Rattus norvegicus: one gene and its partners. The protein of the gene in region 1 interacts with the protein of each later gene in a biochemical or structural test. Links are inferred from orthologs where the notes say so. Each region holds a gene or a part of one and is shown in the gene's direction. Other genes may lie near its edges.

Evidence for each region.
Region 2: the proteins of Itk (region 1) and Lcp2 form a complex in vitro, tested with the Homo sapiens proteins (2 studies listed by BioGRID, with this or other methods). The link is inferred for Rattus norvegicus from reciprocal best matches to the Homo sapiens genes ITK and LCP2.
Region 3: the proteins of Itk (region 1) and Erbb3 form a complex in vitro, tested with the Homo sapiens proteins (2 studies listed by BioGRID and IntAct, with this or other methods). The link is inferred for Rattus norvegicus from reciprocal best matches to the Homo sapiens genes ITK and ERBB3.

What each region holds. Positions count from the first base shown.
Region 1 is NC_086028.1:31,259,330-31,265,820, reverse strand, and holds part of Itk (tyrosine-protein kinase ITK/TSK), read left to right. Parts: intron 1-76; coding exon 77-293; intron 294-1,660; coding exon 1,661-1,725; intron 1,726-1,809; coding exon 1,810-1,928; intron 1,929-4,761; coding exon 4,762-4,919; intron 4,920-6,491. UniProt on the Homo sapiens protein: Tyrosine kinase that plays an essential role in regulation of the adaptive immune response. Regulates the development, function and differentiation of conventional T-cells and nonconventional NKT-cells.
Region 2 is NC_086028.1:19,169,826-19,176,316, forward strand, and holds part of Lcp2 (lymphocyte cytosolic protein 2), read left to right. Parts: intron 1-492; coding exon 493-691; exon of another isoform or gene 692-1,139; intron 1,140-2,904; exon of another isoform or gene 2,905-2,964; coding exon 2,965-3,062; exon of another isoform or gene 3,063-4,226; intron 4,227-4,512; coding exon 4,513-4,561; intron 4,562-4,663; coding exon 4,664-4,747; intron 4,748-6,491. UniProt on the Homo sapiens protein: Adapter protein primarily involved in signaling pathways within T-cells, as well as other immune cells such as platelets, mast cells, and natural killer (NK) cells.
Region 3 is NC_086025.1:1,576,528-1,581,919, reverse strand, and holds the end of Erbb3 (receptor tyrosine-protein kinase erbB-3), read left to right. Parts: intron 1-118; coding exon 119-419; intron 420-576; coding exon 577-1,103; 3' UTR 1,104-2,841; downstream 2,842-5,392. Other genes in the region: Pa2g4 (proliferation-associated protein 2G4), read left to right, coding at 5,246-5,333. UniProt on the Homo sapiens protein: Tyrosine-protein kinase that plays an essential role as cell surface receptor for neuregulins.

The sequences.
Region 1 (6,491 bases):
GTGACGTGCCATCATATGCCCAGCACTCTTGGGATACTGGATTTAGGTCATCTCATCTCTTGCCTTTTTCTTCCAGGAAACTCTCTCACCCCAAGCTGGTGCAGCTCTATGGGGTGTGCTTGGAGCAAGCCCCCATCTGCCTGGTGTTTGAGTTCATGGAGCACGGCTGCCTATCGGATTACCTTCGAAGTCAGCGGGGTCTCTTTGCTGCAGAGACCCTGCTGGGCATGTGCCTGGACGTGTGTGAGGGCATGGCCTACCTAGAAAAAGCGTGTGTCATCCACAGAGACCTGGTATGAGCAAATGCAGGGGGCCAACACCTGCAAGAACAGGGCAAAGGAATGCATATTCCCCTGTAATGCAATGCTACCAAATCTGAGGGAGCATCACTAAGTAGCGTGTCCCACACAGCCTTCCCTCCTCTCGACCTCTTCCTGCTCCACCCACTTCAGGTGGCCCCTGATAGGGAAATGTTTCCAGTGCTCAGATCTGAACTACACCGGGCCATTCCTCGAACATGTGCCCTCAGAGTTTCAATCCACATTCTTCCAACATACAACTACTCCTAACTCCCTTCTCTGTGCCTCAGTTTCCCCCTGTAAAAGTGAAGGGGATAGGCCAGAACACTTTCACTTTGTAAAACCTATTGTTTGCATATGCTGAGTGTCCGAAGTGATGGTTTCCTTATGCCTTCTTCCCATGTATGCCTCCTATGCTTTGATCGTATTCAAACTCTTCCTCACCATCGCTTGTCCCTGATCTCAATGGCTCCCTTCCTCTTCACAGACACTTCCACTTCTACCTGCATGCTTCATTCATTCATTCATTCATTCATTCACTCATTTTTAATCTAGATCTCATGTGTGAGGAAAAATGACCCATGCTGTTTGTCCTTAAGTGTAGCAATTTCACTTAACCAGATGTTCCCCAGTTCCATCCCACTTCCCCCAAAACGCATCATTTCATTCCTCCTTGTGGCTGAGTACCCTCCCCTCCACCCCCTCACCCCAATCCATGTCTATACACATCACCTTTTCTTTACCCCTTCTCTCATTGATGGGCACTTGGGCTGAAGCACTGTTTTTCTACCAAAGCTGCACCCAAACCTGAGGGGCAGCCTGGGAACCTCTTACAGGCAGGGATCATGAGTAGTCATGTGAGCCCCCAGTTGGACAGGGAAGTACTTTTCAGTATGAGACCCACCCACCTGTTCTCTTGTCTCCCAGGACTCTTCATGGACTACCTAAAGGATACTGACAGGGGCCAGGTACTCTCCCCACTAAGGATAGCATTAAGGGGATTGGCCTTCTTATTAATCACTTTCATATTAATCGCTTGGGAGGCACTGCAGGCAGCCCCAATGTCAGCACTGCCTACCCTGTCAGGTTGCATTCCAGTGAATTACTGGCTGCACAAGGCTGGGTCTCTCTAATAATTAGAAAATAAACTCCTCATCCTGATAAAAGGGCTTGCACACTCGGCAAACTCGCTGAGTTTCCAGCTAGCTCTGCAGGCTGTCGGTGATGCTCAACATCTGTAAGGCTCTGAGTGACTTTGTACAGCAACACAGAGAAACAAAGCCTAGTGACAGGAGTCCCTTCCTCTCCTGGCTCACCACCCACGACTTTATTTCTCATTTGCCTACCTGTCTCTGATCTAGGCCGCCAGGAACTGTTTGGTGGGAGAAAACCAGGTCATCAAGGTGTCCGACTTCGGCATGACAAGGTAATGGAAGGGTGTGGGATCAGCTGCCGTCAGGAAGGAGACTCAGCCCTGCACTGTTCTGACCTCTTCCTCGCCTCTTCCCAGGTTTGTCCTTGATGATCAATATACCAGCTCCACGGGCACCAAATTCCCAGTGAAGTGGGCATCCCCAGAAGTGTTCTCCTTCAGCCGCTACAGCAGCAAGTCAGATGTGTGGTCATTTGGTAAGTTTCACCCTGAGCCCGCCCCTGTGTGATCTGGAACTGTGCACCAGCTGTTTCCTTCTCAAATGCAAACAAGTCTACTTTGTTCTGACCCCTGTGTGGAGAAAGAACCCACGAGGGCCTGCGTGAGAACAGCCTGAAATGTCCGAGCAGCCTCTTTTTGCTGCCTTTATCTCTAGATATCTTTAGAACGGCTAAGAAATTAAAAATAATAATGGAAAAGGAGACTTGGGGTAGCTACTGTGAGCTGGAAAGCTGGAGTTGTCGGGAGATTGGAATATGAAGCTGAAAGCAGGACCTTACTGGGTCCAACATTCCCATACTCAATCCTCCGTAAGCTCTTGTCACTTCACCATGGTTTCCTGAGTGTCTGTTACACTCCTGGGCTACTCAGGGGCTGAGAAGCAGGAGGGCACAGGGCAGAAGAGACTTCTATCCTCTTGAAGCTAAACTTTTGGGGAGAGGAGACAGATGACTGTCACTGAAGTGGAGTTTGGGTCCGTGAGTGCTGTGACTCAAGGAAAGCAGCATTGGTAGAGAGTATTTAGGGCGGGGGAAGGGTCCATTTTACCCAGTACGCTCTGGAAAGGCCTTCTAGAAGTAACTCTTGGACAAATGTCTCCATTCAAATATTCATGAAGCTGTGTCCCTGGCAGGGACGAGAAAGTATGAAAACTCAACTACATCCAGAGATAGCAAGAGTTCCTGAGTTACAGGGAGAACAAAGACAGCAGTAACAGTTGGTGGGAATGAATGACATTAACATGTGGGAAAGGTTAAATAACTTGCTGAGTTTGACGTCAGTCTAACTCACAATTTGTGCACACAAACAGTGTGCATGAAAGTGTACCAAATAGCCGCTCCAATATGATGACTGTACAGATGGCACTTCGGAGAGAAACTGCTTTGGGTTGACCTTGCTATTCTATGTGAAAGGTTTTCCAGGGCACAAACTCAGTGGCACGAGCATGGGAGATCAAGTCTCCCAGGGTAAGAATCGGTGCTGCGATCTTCACTTTAGAATGCCCTATTCCCACGAGTCCAGAACTTGTTAATTATGAATCTTTCTGCTCTGTTCCTTAGTTCAACACACACACACACACACACACACACACACACACACACACACACACACCTCTGGGCTTGGCTGTTACTGTTAACAGGGTAGAAGTTACAGGATGAATTTGGAGGCAATTGTTCTGGTGTCTTCCTTGCACAACTGTCCACAAGTATAGAAGAAGGCCAGAGACAACTCGTGGCTATCTCTCTGTGGGTTATAGAGCCACGGACACTGCCAAGGTGGCACCCAACAAAGATGTTTAGAGTGTGAGCTATACGCACTTTCACCAGCACATTGCAGAAGGGAGTTTGGGAAGTCTTGGCGTGTCAACCAGAGGATAGTCTACTGGGTTTTCCAGAAGTCTAAAGTGCATCCCTTCCTGAGATGTGTGATTTGAAAAGAGTCCAGGAATGAGGTTGAGAGACAGGGGTAGAACAGAAACAGGTAGGAGCAGCAGGGCACACTGGCGCATAACACGGGGGGAGGCAGAGGCAGATCTCTGAGTTCCAGGGCAGCATGGTCTACAGAGAGAGTTCCAGGACAGCCAGGGCTTTTACACAGAGAAATCCTGTCTCAGAGAAAAAAGACAGATAGGCGGACAGGCAGATGGGAAGATAGACAGGTGGACCGACAGAAAGAGGAAGAAAAGAGAAAGACAGACAGTAGTATGTGCAAACCACAGCAACCTGCAGGCTACGAGCCTCCTGCCTGGCTCAGCCTTGTGGGTTTTGTCATAAACGCAGTCTGTGTGATTTATCCCATTGCTTTTATTGAGCGAGTCAGCAGCCTCTATAAACTCTGCCTCTTCATGCCTCAGAGGGTTCACGTTAAAGCAGTCAATACCCAGTAGCCCCAACAACTCACTTCAGAAGACACCTTACTAGAAATCCTAGCACCTTGGGACACTGAACAGTCTTCCTCACAGTCAGATTCTGATTTCCAGGTCTTTGGGCATCTCAGAGGAGCCTGCAGGTTAGTGACCCCAGGAGGAGGGTATTAGGGTGAGGTTCAGAAGTCTCCCATTCGAACAAGTGTAGGAGCTGGCTCTTAGTGGGTATTTGAGAATCAAACTTTGGGGAACTCCATCCTCCAGTCCTGTAGTTTTACCCCTCTGGTCAGGACACCAGCAACCTCCATTTTTTTTCTGAGTCTGTGATCTGTCAGTACACGAGAAAGACAAAGCTGAGGCAGCTTGTATATGGATGAAGGAGTGAAGAAACATACTGTGGGAAGATGCTTTCCCCTCAGTGTCTACAAACAAGTTAAGATTCTGTCTATGAAATGCCTGACACCACAAATGGTTTAGACTTTAGGTTTGGAATATTTGCATGTATATATACGTAAAGGTATTTATAGCTACGGTGTGGGGTAGGAGAGAGAGAGAGCAAGAGAGCTTGGGAATGAAACTGAAGTCTAGACATAAATCCATTTGCTTTGTATATACCTCAGAATCTCTCCAGAAGAACTAGTGGCCTTTTCTAGACTCCTCAAGCACATGCACACACATGGCGATCATTCATACACACACACACACACACACACACACACACACACACACAGAGAGAGAGAGAGAGAGAGAGAGAGAGAGAGTAAAATAATATTTTAAAATAGAACAATGAAAAAAATTAAGGGAAGGCCTGATACTGCACTTCCAGACGTCTAGAGGGGTAGACTTAATACTCACTCCAAGGGCCCTGTTGCTTGTGGGCGTGAGTCTCTCTGGTACATGTGCACCTTCCCCCTAGCTGTTTTTCTGTTCACTGCTGCTTCTAGGTGTACTGATGTGGGAAGTCTTCAGCGAAGGCAAAATCCCATATGAAAACCGAAGCAATTCAGAGGTCGTGGAAGACATCAGCACTGGCTTTCGGTTATACAAGCCCCGCCTGGCCTCCCCTCATGTCTACCAGGTCATGAATCACTGCTGGAAAGAGGTCAGTACACAGGGAGATTCCCCCTGGATCGTAACACACACTTTCAGGGTCCGCATCAAGCGAGAAAGGACATGACCTACAAGGATGGGGATCAAGGAAGACCATAATAAACAGGCAGGGCTTTGTACATGTTTCTGCATATAATCATGTTTTAACTATACGTACATAGGGAGTACAGTATGATCTTTCAGTGTGTGGTTATCAATGTGGTTCCTTGGCTTTTATTGTTTATTTCTTTTTTATTGTTGAGTAGTACTCCATTTGTATGGACATACCATAGTTGGTTTATTCATGTGCTTACTAAAAGGAGCTCTCAGTTTCCAGCAATTATGAGAAAACCTGCTATAAGCATTTACTGCATGTGAATCTATTAAAGTGAATCTAACGGACATAAATTTTCAACTCGGTTGGGTAAATGCCTAGGAGTGGCTGCTGGAACATATGTTAACACTGTTTAGTTGATTTAAGAAGCTAAACGCTGTCGGGTTGTGTTCCTAAGTCTTTTGCCCATTCTTAGCAGTAATGATGGATTCTGGTGCTTTTGTTTTTATTGGTTTGTTGGTTTGGTTGGTACTGCATAGACCCAGCTTTCCTGGAACTCACTGTGTGGACCAGGCCCTGAACCCACAGAGATACACCTGTCTCTGCTTCTGCCTCCTAAGTGCAGGAATTAAAGGTGTACACCCCCATGCCCGGCCCTGCTGCGTCTCATACGCACCAGTACTGGTTATGCTGGACATCACCATTCCTACAGAGGAGGGGGAGATTATATTTTATGTTGTCTCATCTGCCATTTCTTTAGTGGCTGGCCGTGCTGCGCCTCTTTTTGTTTGTGTGCCATCTGTAATCTTAGTGAAACGCTCAGGTTGTTTATTTCCTATCGTTGGCTTTAGAAGGGTTCCTTATCATTATATGCTTTGCAAATGTGTTCTCCAAGCCTACAGTTTACCTTTTCATTCTCTTAGCAATTTCCTTAATGCTTTTACTTAAAAAACTATGCGTGCGGGTGTTGTGCCTATACACGTGTCTGTGCACCCTACTTACGAAGTTCCACAGCGAACAGAAGAGGACTTCAGAACCCCTGGGACTGTAGTTTCAGATGGTTGCGAGCAGCCCCAAGGGGCTGGGAATCAAACCCTGATCCCAGCAAGTGCTCTTAACCACTGATCCATCTCTCCAGCCCTTACTAGTGTCACTTAAATCACATTATTTATTTATTTCATGTGTGTGTGTATGCAGCCCCGAGGGTGGCGTACACTGTTAGTATGCACCTAGGTAGGTCAGAGGACAACTTGCAAGGGTCAGTTCTCACCTTCTGCCTGTGGGTCCCAGGGATGGGGCTCAAGCTGTCAGTTAGCAGCAAGCGCTTTTGCCTTCTGAGCCATCCCACCGTCCCTCTGGACAGGGTCTCTTACTGAATGGAGGTTTTCCAGTTTTAACAAGTTCAGCATCATTTCCCCCATGAATTGCGCTTTCGAAGTTGTAGCTAACAACTCCTCATGAACAGAAGTCACTCAGAAGTCACTCCGAACAGTCACTCAGAACAGTCACTCAGATCTCCTCCAATAAGGA
Region 2 (6,491 bases), about 12 Mb from region 1:
GTAAAGGCAGATCTGGGACCCAGGCTGTCCAACCCTCGGTCTAAGTGGTCTTTCTGGCAAGTGGCCACCTTTAGGTCTTTTAAAAACCATGCACTGAGTGTCCTGTGTCCTATTGGCATTCCAGTAAATGAAAGTACTTCATCTGAAAGAAAATGGTTTGCAAGTCTGTTTTTTATTTTAAATATGGGAAAGCAAAGGAATGCAACAGATTTATTTTGTAAAAAAGGAACAAGAGAACTAGTTTCTCCAGATGTGTTTGTGCTTCAGCAGCTGGATCCCTGCCAAAGCTCCTCTTAAGTCTTCCCATGCTCAGCCAGAGACTAGTCTTCAGTTCTGTCCCCAAAGCACGAGTTTCTAGTCTCTGGAGGCCATCACAGACAGATCTGCCGGGAGGATGCTGGGGTCCCGGGCAGAGATCTCATAGGTTCATGCTGTAAAATGTTGCCTTGTGACACCCGTATTAGCTGTGACGTCCCTCGACTGTGTTGACAGGAAGATGACTATGAAAGTCCCAATGACGACGATCCAGATGGGGAGGATGATGGTGACTATGAGTCCCCTAACGAGGAGGAAGAGACGCTAGTGGACGATGCTGCTGACTATGAGCCGCCACCCTCCAACGATGAGGAGGCTCTGCAGAACTCCATCCTGCCTGCCAAGCCTTTCCCCAACACCAACTCCATGTACATTGGTAAGGGTCTCGTCGCAGCCCGCTAGTCCTGCCAGCCCTGGGAGAAGCCGCCCATTGAGCTTCTCTGGGTGCTGATTCCTGTCAGCTTCTGAAAAACTGGTGGCTTGAGGCCAGAGACTCTGCCTCTCTGGCTGTTTCCTTATGAGTAATACAGGATAATACTAGAACAGAGGACAAAGGCTTGATGGGAAGAGGGTGGTTATGTGGCACCGCCATCCACAGAAGGTCATAAGAAATGTGAGGGCACTCAGAGGGATTGGTTCTGCCTTTACAATGAGACAGACTTTAGGATGTTCCTCATTTACCTGCCGTCCTGCACTCACATGTTCTTCCTCATTCATTCATTCATGAAGTCACGAATGCTTCTCCTCTCCTGTTATGAGCCAGACACCATGTGCTGGAATCTACCAGGAAGGAAGATGCACCTTTATCCGGTGGGAATTACTTTCTAGAAGAGGAGGTAACAGAAAATGAGCATAGGCACACTCGGTTTCCTCTGCATCCAGGGGTCAATGTGTCTCACCCTGGGAGCTGTGTTGTACTCTGCTTCAGACTGCGCCCCACCACCTGACTTTGTGTATTGAGGGATAGAACATGAAAGCTAACAGGCAGGGAGCTTCAGCCATCACTGAGGCTATTCCAGACAGAGCAGAAAAGGGAAACCAGGCTGGTGAGTATCTCTAGGTGCCTGTCACAGAGACATGGAGTGAGCATGACGGACCTCATCCTTGAGCACTCCTGGTGGAGTGGGTGAGGCGACACTAAGCTAATGCATGACACTAAGCTAATGCATCCTGTCACTCCATTAGGCCAGCATAATAAACGGGTTTGCTCCTTCAGGGTGTGGTATTTGAGCGACAGTCTTCGGCTGATATTAAATACTGAATGGCAAATGAGGAAGGTTTGGTTAAATGACGCCGAACAGGGTAGGGGAGGAACATTTGAAGCACATAAAACGGCAGTGCAGAGGCCCTGAGGTCCCAAGGAACATGGGCTATCCGAGGAGCTGAAAGGCAGCCTGTGGTATGGATACCAGACTTCCCCTTACCCCTTGCCCGAACCCCCTTCCTTCTGGAAGGGAAATGATATTCTTCATAGGGCTAACAAAGGGGTAGATCAAGTCCACAACAGCCTTTCCAGTCTGAAGTTCCAGACTCCTTCCTCAATCTTCCCCAAACCAACAGTTAGTCAGTCTGTTAGTTGGGGTTTCTGCAGCTTGGATAAGCCTCCAGGGCCAAAAGTACAGGATGCTAGAGGCACTTGCTACTCCTGCCTCGCTGTCCGGTGCTGGCCTTTCCCACCCAAAGGGGTAAGAAATCCCAAACTTGTCAAACTGGTTCTGGGAAGTTCTGTGGCAATCGGAATAATGTGTCTGTCTAGGGCGAGACCATGGGCTGTTTAATTTGGTAACAGAATTGAGAGCCAGCCCCTCCCTGTAAGGGAGGGGACAGACAAAGGACGAAATAGGAGAACATAGCAGCCCAGAGTACCTGTGAAGGGAAGGAAGCGACAGAGTGAGGAGCTCATGAGGGTGGCAGCGAACTTAATCCTGTGCAGTGTGAGCATATGTATGCAGGCATGCACACACGTGTCTCTGTGCATGCTTAAGTGTCAGCATACACTCATGTTTCACGGCATAGGTACATGCATGTGCATGTTGAATACACACACTTGTGCTCTATATTTGCAAATGTGCACATATATGCACAGGGATCATGTGTGCATGCACATGAACCCTTGCTCGTCCACACATGTAGAATTTGTATCTGAAAACACTGGGGTAATTCTCTAGAGGCTTCCTTTGGCTAGAGGTGTCTCAGATATTACCTGTTTGTGTGTAAGGTACTGTGGGAGTTATTCCAATGTATAAGAAGACTTAAACCAAATCTGCAGGATGAGGGACAGATCTGGGCCAAGGACTTCCTGCCTCCTGTAGGACCCAGGCTGGGTCTGACTATATGTCAAATTCATGCTGGTACCGGTGGAGATCTGGAGGAGGCTCCTGACACCTCAAGCTATAGTCAGGCACAACATGTTCTAGAAGAAGCCTAATTCAAACGTTTTAATTTTTTCTCTTTTCGTTTTTTTTCTTTCTTTCTTGGTTTTTGTTTGTTTGTTTTTGTTTTTCGAGACAAAGTTTCTCTGTGTAGCCCTGGCTGTCTTAGAACTAGCTCTGTAGGCCAGGCTAACCTTGAACTCAGAGATCCACCTACCTCTGCTTCCCCGGTGGTATTAAACGGCTCTCCTTTCTTTTTAATATTGTGTTTCCACAGACCGGCCTCCCACCGGCAAGGTCTCCCAGCAGCCTCCGGTGCCCCCGCAGAGACCAATGGCCGCCCTCCCTCCCCTGCCAACAGGCCGGAATCACTCGGTAAGCCTCTTCCCTTTCTTCCAGGCCGCTTTGTTTCCACTACAATTCGTTCTTCCGGTAGACAGAAAAGGAACTAAGCATCTTGACCTAATTCTAAGTTTGTAAGAGGCGGTTATGACAGGAAAAATGCACACCCTCACGTTCCGCTCAGTAGTTCAATTTTGTGATGACATAGAAGCAGTTTCTATGTATAGCATAATGTTTATTGGCAGTTTTTTTGCACCAAAAACAATATAAACTGCGTGTATAATGAGATACTCCCCTTCTCCAATATCATTGTGCTACTTCCGCTATTTAACTGTGGGAGAACCAAGTCTGGCCTGGCATCTTCCGGTGTTGCCTAGACTCTCGAGGTAGGCCTCCCCGTGCAAGCAGCGCTGCGCCACCTGCTGGCAAGGTCAAGAACTTCCAGGGATGAACGCCTTCAGACCACAAGATTTCCAACTCGGTGAAGCCCATGAGAGAAACAGTGGCACCGAGCCCCACTTTCCCTTTTCATTCAGCATTATAGTCCAGCTCCTATGGAGGTTACATGAAGCTCAGTCTAAAGGAGTCATCGATGTGCTCTTTCCGCAAGGGGCCAGGACAGAGCTAGGAGGGGAGATTGTGGTGGGAGGAAAGGCATTTTGCTTTTGAAATCAGACGGCTGGCACCTCCACCACTGGGAGGCAGGCTTTGCCTATCATGTCAACAGATACTGATGGGGCTACTACTTCACACCAGTGTCCTCTGTGCCGGGGGAAGAACACGGAACAGTACAGAATGTTCCGACTTTCATACCGTGTTGCTATCAACAAGCACACAGATGTAGAAATGACCTGGGTATGTGGTTTAGGAAGACAGGGGGCCGAGTAATATGACAGAGTGTACAGAGCTGACACCGAGCTGGCACAGGACGAGCCAGTCATAGGGAACGCAGAAGGAACATCCCAGGCAGAGGAAACATAGGCACAGAGATGTTCACGAGTAGGTATGAGCTTTGGGTTTTGTGAGAACTGTAAGGAGATCCTTATTCGGGGACCATGGAGCATTAGCGAGGAACATAGAAATGGCTTCAAATGGTGGGCAGGGCATCTACTGTGGGGCTTCATGGGGGTGGGGGGATGGGGGATAGGGGTAGGGGTGGTAGGGGTGGTGGTGGAGGTGGTGGTGGTGGTGGTGATGGTGGTGTCATATTTCACTTCTGATGTGACTAGAACCTTGGAGGGCTTGGTAGGGAAGTTTCTGCTTGGTTCTTTGCCATGCAAAAGGCTGAAGCATGAGAGAGTGAGGAAGTTCAGAGGGGCACGACCTCAGCAACTCAGCTGACAGCTAGCTGCGGGACAGACCTGGAGATGGAGAAAAGGGATCCAGATACCTTTGGAGAGGGAAAAGTGGGAAAATTTCCAAACATTTGGACTGGGTTATTATTATTTTTTTTAATTCCATGCTGCCACTGTCTCCGGCCCAGCCCAACCATGAAGAACCTAGCAGAAATCGGAACCATAAAACAGCAAAGCGTATGTACAGGGTGCTTTCTGCACCCCCCCCAGCCCACCCACCCAATTCCCAGCCGGATGCTTTCTTTCTTTTTTAACTGACCTCAGCTTTCTCCACTCCAGTGCCTGCTCCATCAATAGACAGAAGCACAAAACCTCCCCTGGACCGCTCATTGGCTCCTCCTCTTGACCGAGAGCCCTTACTGGGTTGGTATTGCTCATATTTTATGCACAATAATAATGGCTACGTTTATAGAGTGCTAAGCACACACATATTATACACACACATACACATACATACACACACACACGATCTTGTTTTACTACTGGCACAATACTGTAAATTCATGAGAAACATCCTCATTTTACAGAGGAAGAAACAGAGGCACAAAGCAATAACTTTCCAACATCCCTCAGTGAGCAAATGAGGAAGACAGAGACCCAAAACCAGATCAGCCTGGTGCCTGAACCCCTGCTTTTAGTCCCTGGGCTGTGCCTGCTCCACCAGGCCTGTAAGCTGTGTTCACTTTGACCAAGACAGGGCAGGATGGAACCCAGTATTCAAGGGAAAAAGGGGCTGAGAGGCAAGAGCACCAGAAGAGCTGTAGTCAGCTGTTTTGGTCGATACTTATCATTTTGCTGACCCAGGGGATGTTGCGTTTTTAGGCCACAGTCTCCTGGCAAGGAGGAAACATTTGCTAAAACATTTGGATATCAAAATTGCCTTTTGCAGTGGGTGTGTACAGTTGATAAAACACTATGAACTTTTTGCACAATTTACTCATGGTTCCAGCTCCCCTTACGTAGAGCTATTCTTTAATTCAACTTAGCTACAACTTATGGAGCAGCTAGGATGGAGCAGGTGCTTTACATCCTTGGGCCAAGTCAGTGAAGGGGTGTGTTCTCTCCACCTCTCAGACGACAGAAGGTTAGAGAGGCTAAATAGCATGCCCTGTTTTGTATAGGTGGGTTAAGACTTGAACCCATATCTTTCTGACTTTTGCACTGAGGTCGTTGGCTTTGAACTTGCTGTAGACAAGGTCTGTCTGGGCAAGAAGTACGTAAAGTGAGTAGATCTAGGCTCCATACTTTCTCCTCTTCAGTGGAACTCTGAACAAGGTCTTTGCCTTTTGGCCTCGGACTTCTCCTTGGTTTGCAAAATGATGTTGAGACACCTTGGATTGGAAGCTGCAGCTTGTTGTCGTTTCCCTGACTCCCGGTCTGACTCTGCCGAGGCATGAATTTGGGGTTCACTGTACACAGCGTATCAAGAGAAAGGCAGACAAGACCCGGATTTGAACCCTGCTCACTAAGCCAGGGCATCAAGAAAGTGGGATACAGATGTGAAGACTTCACAGTCATCTTTATACACAGCTCACTCCTTTAAAGAGTCACCTTTTGTTATTTCTATAGACATTTTAGAGATAATGCTTCCTGATGACACATGTTGGAGCTTTAAGTCACATCTTTGTCCATGAAGCTGCTGAGGGACTGACTCCTTCTACTGATGCTTAGCCCGTACATCAAGATCCTAACATGGCCAGAAAGTAATACACACTACAAGTTTGCCGCTTAGTTGGTTGATTTGTGTCTTATAAATCAAATACTTTCTGAAAAGGGAAAGTGTACCTCGGTCAAAGAATATTAATATTACTCTATAGATAAGATGTTTGATCTCAAACTCTGAATGTTTACTAAACTTCTTGTGTGCCACGGAATGCTCTTCCCTTGGCCTAGTGAGTTCTTCAAAGTACACAAACATCTTAGACCTTCTTGGGTCACCCATGAATTCAGCCCTTATGGGATGCTGGGAATATGTGATTCCAGGTGGATAGCATCAGTATGTACTTCAGGGTATGAAGTAGGAGAGAATGGGAAAGAAAGAGGAGCTAGCCAGCATTTGTCAGCACCCAGCCATCTTTTTTTTTAATGTTTTTTTTATTTATTCATT
Region 3 (5,392 bases), on another chromosome or scaffold:
TACTCAGCGTCCGGCAATGGAAAAGGCCCTACCTGAACAGCTGCACCTTCCTCAAAAACTGGGCATGTATATAATCTGTGTAATCCTTATATTGCTTCCCGTGACTTTTCCTCCGTAGGATTCTGCGGTTTTGGGGGGTCGTGAACAGTTCTCCCGTCCCATCTCTCTGCACCCAATTCCACGGGGGCGTCCAGCATCAGAGTCATCAGAGGGCCACGTGACAGGCTCTGAGGCTGAACTCCAAGAGAAAGTGTCAGTGTGTAGGAGCCGAAGCCGGAGTCGGAGCCCGCGGCCTCGTGGGGACAGTGCCTACCATTCGCAGCGACACAGCCTGCTTACTCCTGTGACCCCGCTCTCCCCACCAGGGTTAGAGGAGGAGGACGGCAATGGCTACGTCATGCCAGATACACACCTCAGAGGTACGACTCTTCCAGCGATTTTCTCAAATCTTCCTCTAAGCTTTTTCTCCGAGCTCCCCTTAGTTCTTTTACCTTCTCTGATGACTCACTCACTCCCATTCCTTCTGGTTATTTCTACAAAGTTCTATACGTACTTAAGAGTTTCTCTCACCCGTAGGTGCGTCCTCCTCCCGGGAAGGCACCCTCTCGTCGGTAGGTCTCAGTTCTGTGTTGGGTACTGAGGAGGAAGATGAAGATGAGGAGTATGAATACATGAACCGGAAGAGAAGGGGTAGCCCTCCTCGGCCCCCCAGGCCTGGCTCCCTGGAAGAACTGGGTTACGAGTACATGGATGTGGGTTCAGACCTCAGTGCTTCTCTGGGCAGTACACAGAGCTGCCCGCTCCATCCCATGGCCATCGTGCCCTCTGCTGGCACAACTCCAGATGAAGACTATGAGTACATGAACCGGAGGCGTGGTGCGGGTGGCGCCGGAGGGGACTATGCAGCTATGGGGGCCTGCCCAGCAGCTGAGCAAGGGTACGAGGAGATGCGAGCTTTCCAGGGGCCTGGACATCACGCCCCCCATGTTCGTTATGCCCGCCTCAAAACTCTGCGTAGTTTAGAAGCCACCGACTCTGCCTTCGACAACCCCGATTACTGGCACAGCAGGCTTTTCCCCAAGGCTAATGCCCAGAGAACGTAAACTTCTGCTCCGTGACGCTCTGCGGGCGTGTGGCGGCAGCTAGTGCCTCTTCGAGGGTACCCCTTCCTCATCCCTCTCTCTGAGGTCCCACCTCCATTTCTCCAGTCCTGTACAATGCCATCCAGTTCCTAGAGACTTGTCAACATATCCCCGCAAACTTTGCGGTACGTAGCCCTGTGTGTCTCCTCTCCCAACCCCGTTCCTCCGCTTCCTCAGGGACTCTCCCTGGAGATATGAAGGATTGCTCTCTGGACCCTTTTGCTCAGGTTCTTACTCATGGGGATTAGACTCTTAAACGTCGCCTTTCCTCCCCATCAGACTCTGAAGAAGGGAAATAGAGGAAAGTACACATTTTATGAGACTTTTAATCCCAGGGGAAGATTTAGAAGCTTAAAGCTTTGAGGAATTAAAGTTAAGAGTAGATACCAGTAACTATGAACTGAACATTTACTGTGAGTCAGGCACCTTCATGCTGAACTCTGCCTACAGTGTCTCAATTATAATCTTTCCAGTTTTGTGAGATAGAACTGATCCCACGTTTCACCAATACAGACTCTTTTTGAGTGTTCCAAGATAGCCAGTAGGCCCCTGAATCTGTGAATAATATTGAATCCTGTGGTTTGTTTTTTTTTAACATTTTAGTTGGTGTACAAAACTAAGTTCTGTGTTTAGTAACTTTTCCATCTTAAATAAGAACTTATCGTTCTTTTTAGTTTGAGGTGCCACAGCAGAGGTTGTACTAATTTTTCTATTTTTCTAATTTAATGTATTTTTATTATAGACATTACCATATGATCCCCTCCCCCATGTGAAGTCAAGAACTTCCACCTTTTCTCAAAGAAAACGCTTCTCTTTGACATGTCTGAGTTGGCATGACTACTCCTGCACTTTGGGCCTGTTTTTAGATAAAATGGGTCTTTGAACACAAGTAGTATGGTATTGCTGTCACTCGATCTAATAAGCAGGTGGGTAATTGAGTACAGAGCAAGTAGGTTATTCAGTGTGGGCGCACTAGGCAGAGGGATGATTCATCTACCAAGTGGGACAGGAAAGGGTGGCTGTGACTTCATCGTGCTACTCAGAATGGTGTACGATGTAAACTGTAGGGATTATTTATTTCAGGAACTTATCATTCAGCATTTTCAGATTGCAGTTGATCACAGGTCACTAAGACTCTGGACAGACAGCAGAACCTCAGAAAATGGGGGACTGAGCCTTGAAGAAATAAAGCAACAGGTCCAGGATTCAAAATCTTCCCATTTCTCATACCTGTGCTTGTACTATAAAGTGTTGTGTAAAGCTGGGTCTCACTCTGTCAACTGGCCTGAAACCATGTAGCCCAGGATGGCCTAGGACTCCACACACAGCAACCCTAGCTTCACCTTTTGAAGGCTGTGGCTACCAGTCACATTTCTTTATGCACTGAATCAAGCAAATGCTACCAGCCACTTTTCCTCCAGCACCCAGGCCTCTCATCTCAGGAAGGAGTGGAGACTAGATAGAAGGACAAGTAACCAGACATGTTTGTGTAAGCCGCAGGCCATACATGTTGCAGATACATACTCCTTACAAGCCAATTCGCAAAGGTTCCAAGACTTGTATTTTAGGAGCTGTTCTCAACCAGTAATGAGATGGGATAGAAAGAGGATCCACCTTCAGACCTCAGTCTTCCTGGATGGGAACTGGGGGGAAAATGCTTCTTGTACCATTAAAGTTTTTTTTTTATACTGTCTAAAAATGTCAACTTTTTTGATTGTTTTTGTGTACTCCTGTGAAGTGAAAAATGCATGAGGCCGTTCCTTTTCTTGGCTTCTTAGCAATGGATGGCTTTCTCTGCTTCTGACACTCTGTAACAAGTAATGTTCCAAGGCTTTTATTTGTTATGTTTTTATTTTTATTTTTTAAAGATTTATTTATTTATTGTATACAAGTACACTGTAGCTGTCTTCAGACACACCGGAAGAGGGCATCAGATCTCATTACAGATGTTGTGAGCCACCATGTGGTTGCTGGGATTTGAACTCAGGACCTCTGAAAGAGCAGTCAGTGCTCTTAACCACTGAGCCATCTCTCCAGCCCCATTTGTTATGTTTTTAAGATTTTAATTATGTGTATGTGAGAGAGTGGGGGTTTGGGAATGGTGTTACGTTCACGGAGTGCAGTGCCCAAGGAAACCAACACAGTGCTAGAGTTACAGTCATGTAACTTGTGCTTGTGCATGGGTGCTGGGAACTCCCTTCCCGCTGCAAGAATACCAGGTTATAATAGTTGAACCATTTCTCCAGACCCTGTTTATATTCTAGTCCTTTTTACTGGATCGGTACAAAGAAGCAAAAGTGTAAACAATTAGAAACAAAACCCCCAAACTCCGGATTGTTTGGAGAAAATGAAAAACCCCAAGCCTTGGGTTGTTTTTTTATTTTTCCTACACAGGAAAACTTGAAATGACCTAGAACTGGTTGTCTTAAGAGTGACCATATCTCGGGGTTGGGGATTTAGCTCAGTGGTAGAGCGCTTGCCTAGGAAGTGCAAGGCCCTGGGTTCGGTCCCCAGCTCCAAAAAAAAAAAAAAAAAAAAAGAGTGACCATATCTCACTCCTAGTGAAGGAACATGTGGCCTAACTCTTTGGTGAGAAGACCTTCCTGGGAGTATAGAATGGGCAGGATTGTGGCTTCCTGCAGACAGACTCATAAAAGTAACCTGGATGAGACCTTGGAGTTTAGATTTAATTGATTCAACTTATTTAAGTGTGAGGGAAACAGTCATGAAAATTACTTCTTATGGGAGGAGTTTGAATTTACGTTGGAATCTAACAGTTAAAGTCTCCTGTCACATGACCTTAGTTTATCACTCAGTAAGTGAAACTTTTAAGAGTCAGCATTTTCTTAGACCTCTTCAAACCAACTATTATTTTTATATGAATCTCTAAATAAATTAGCTTTCCCCACAAGATAAAGATATAAACCAGCTTCTTGGTATAAATGAAATTTTATGTATTTATTTATAAACAATTTCAATGTATAACTTGAGAATTCTGAAGTTTCCTCCAAATAAAAGAACATGCATATTGAAATGAAAAAAAAAAAAGTGACCATATCTGGGCTGGAGAGATGGCTCAGCGGTTAAGAGCACCCGACTACTCTTCCAGAGGTCCTGAGTTCAATTCCCAGCAACCACATGGTGGCTCACAACCATCTGTAAAGAGATCAGATGCTCTCTTCTGGTGTATCTGAAGACAGCTACAGTGTACTTATATATAATAAATGAATAAATCTTTAAAAAAAAAAAGAGTGACCATATCCCTCCTAAACATTTCCCTTAGATGCCCCCATCAAAACTCATGGTTAGAACAATAGTGCCATTTTATTCTAGTCTAGTAGGAAGCCTGGCTTTCATATTAGCAGGCCACGGTACACAATCACTCAGACTGTCCAGTTAGTGCTCACTCCTTGCATGCACCCTAGGACTTCCACCTCCACTCAGCCCCTCCCTGTTCTCCCGGCACAGGAGGATTTGACCAGCCATGCCGGTCGCACCTGCCGACTCCGGAATCCGAGGCTACGCGCACCGGACGACCGCCCAAGGAGTACACACCTTGACCCTGATCCTATAGCTCCACCCGGCTCCACCCTACCCAGCGGCCTCTCAACCCTTTTCTCCGCGTAGCTCCGCCCCACCTCGCTTGGCCCGCCCCTCGCTGTTAAGAGCTCTGGGTCGGCGCTCTCTTGAATGAGAGGTTTTTCCCGGAGACACCACGCTTTCCTTCAACCTTCCCAACGGCTCCGCCTTCCCGCCGGAGCCAGACTCTTCCCAGCGTGCCCGGCGACTCCGGCGTGCGCAGACTTGGGAGGGCAAGGCCCCCAGGGCCTGGCGGAGGTGCGCGAGGAGCAGGCTGGGAATTGTAGTTCTCGAGCGCTCGAGGGCGGCTGGAGACTGGCCGCCGGCAGGACTCATTGTCCCAGTGTACCCTGCGCCTTAGCCCGCGCGCTCGCAGCTTCTCGCTCTCTGCCCGCCCTCCCGCTCCCTTGCTAGCTCGCGCTTTCCTCGCGGATCGAAGAGACTCCGGCTACAGCTTGTGGCTGGGAAGGGAGACGGAGGCCGCAGCTCAGGGAAAGTGAAGCTGCAGTAGTGGCAGTAGGAAGATGTCGGGCGAAGACGAGCAGCAGGAGCAAACTATCGCCGAGGACCTGGTCGTGACCAAGTATAAGATGGGGGGCGACATCGCCAACCGTGAGTGCGGCCTCGGGGGTCTTGGAATCGAGGCTGAGAGGGAGAGGTTTGGGGCTGTC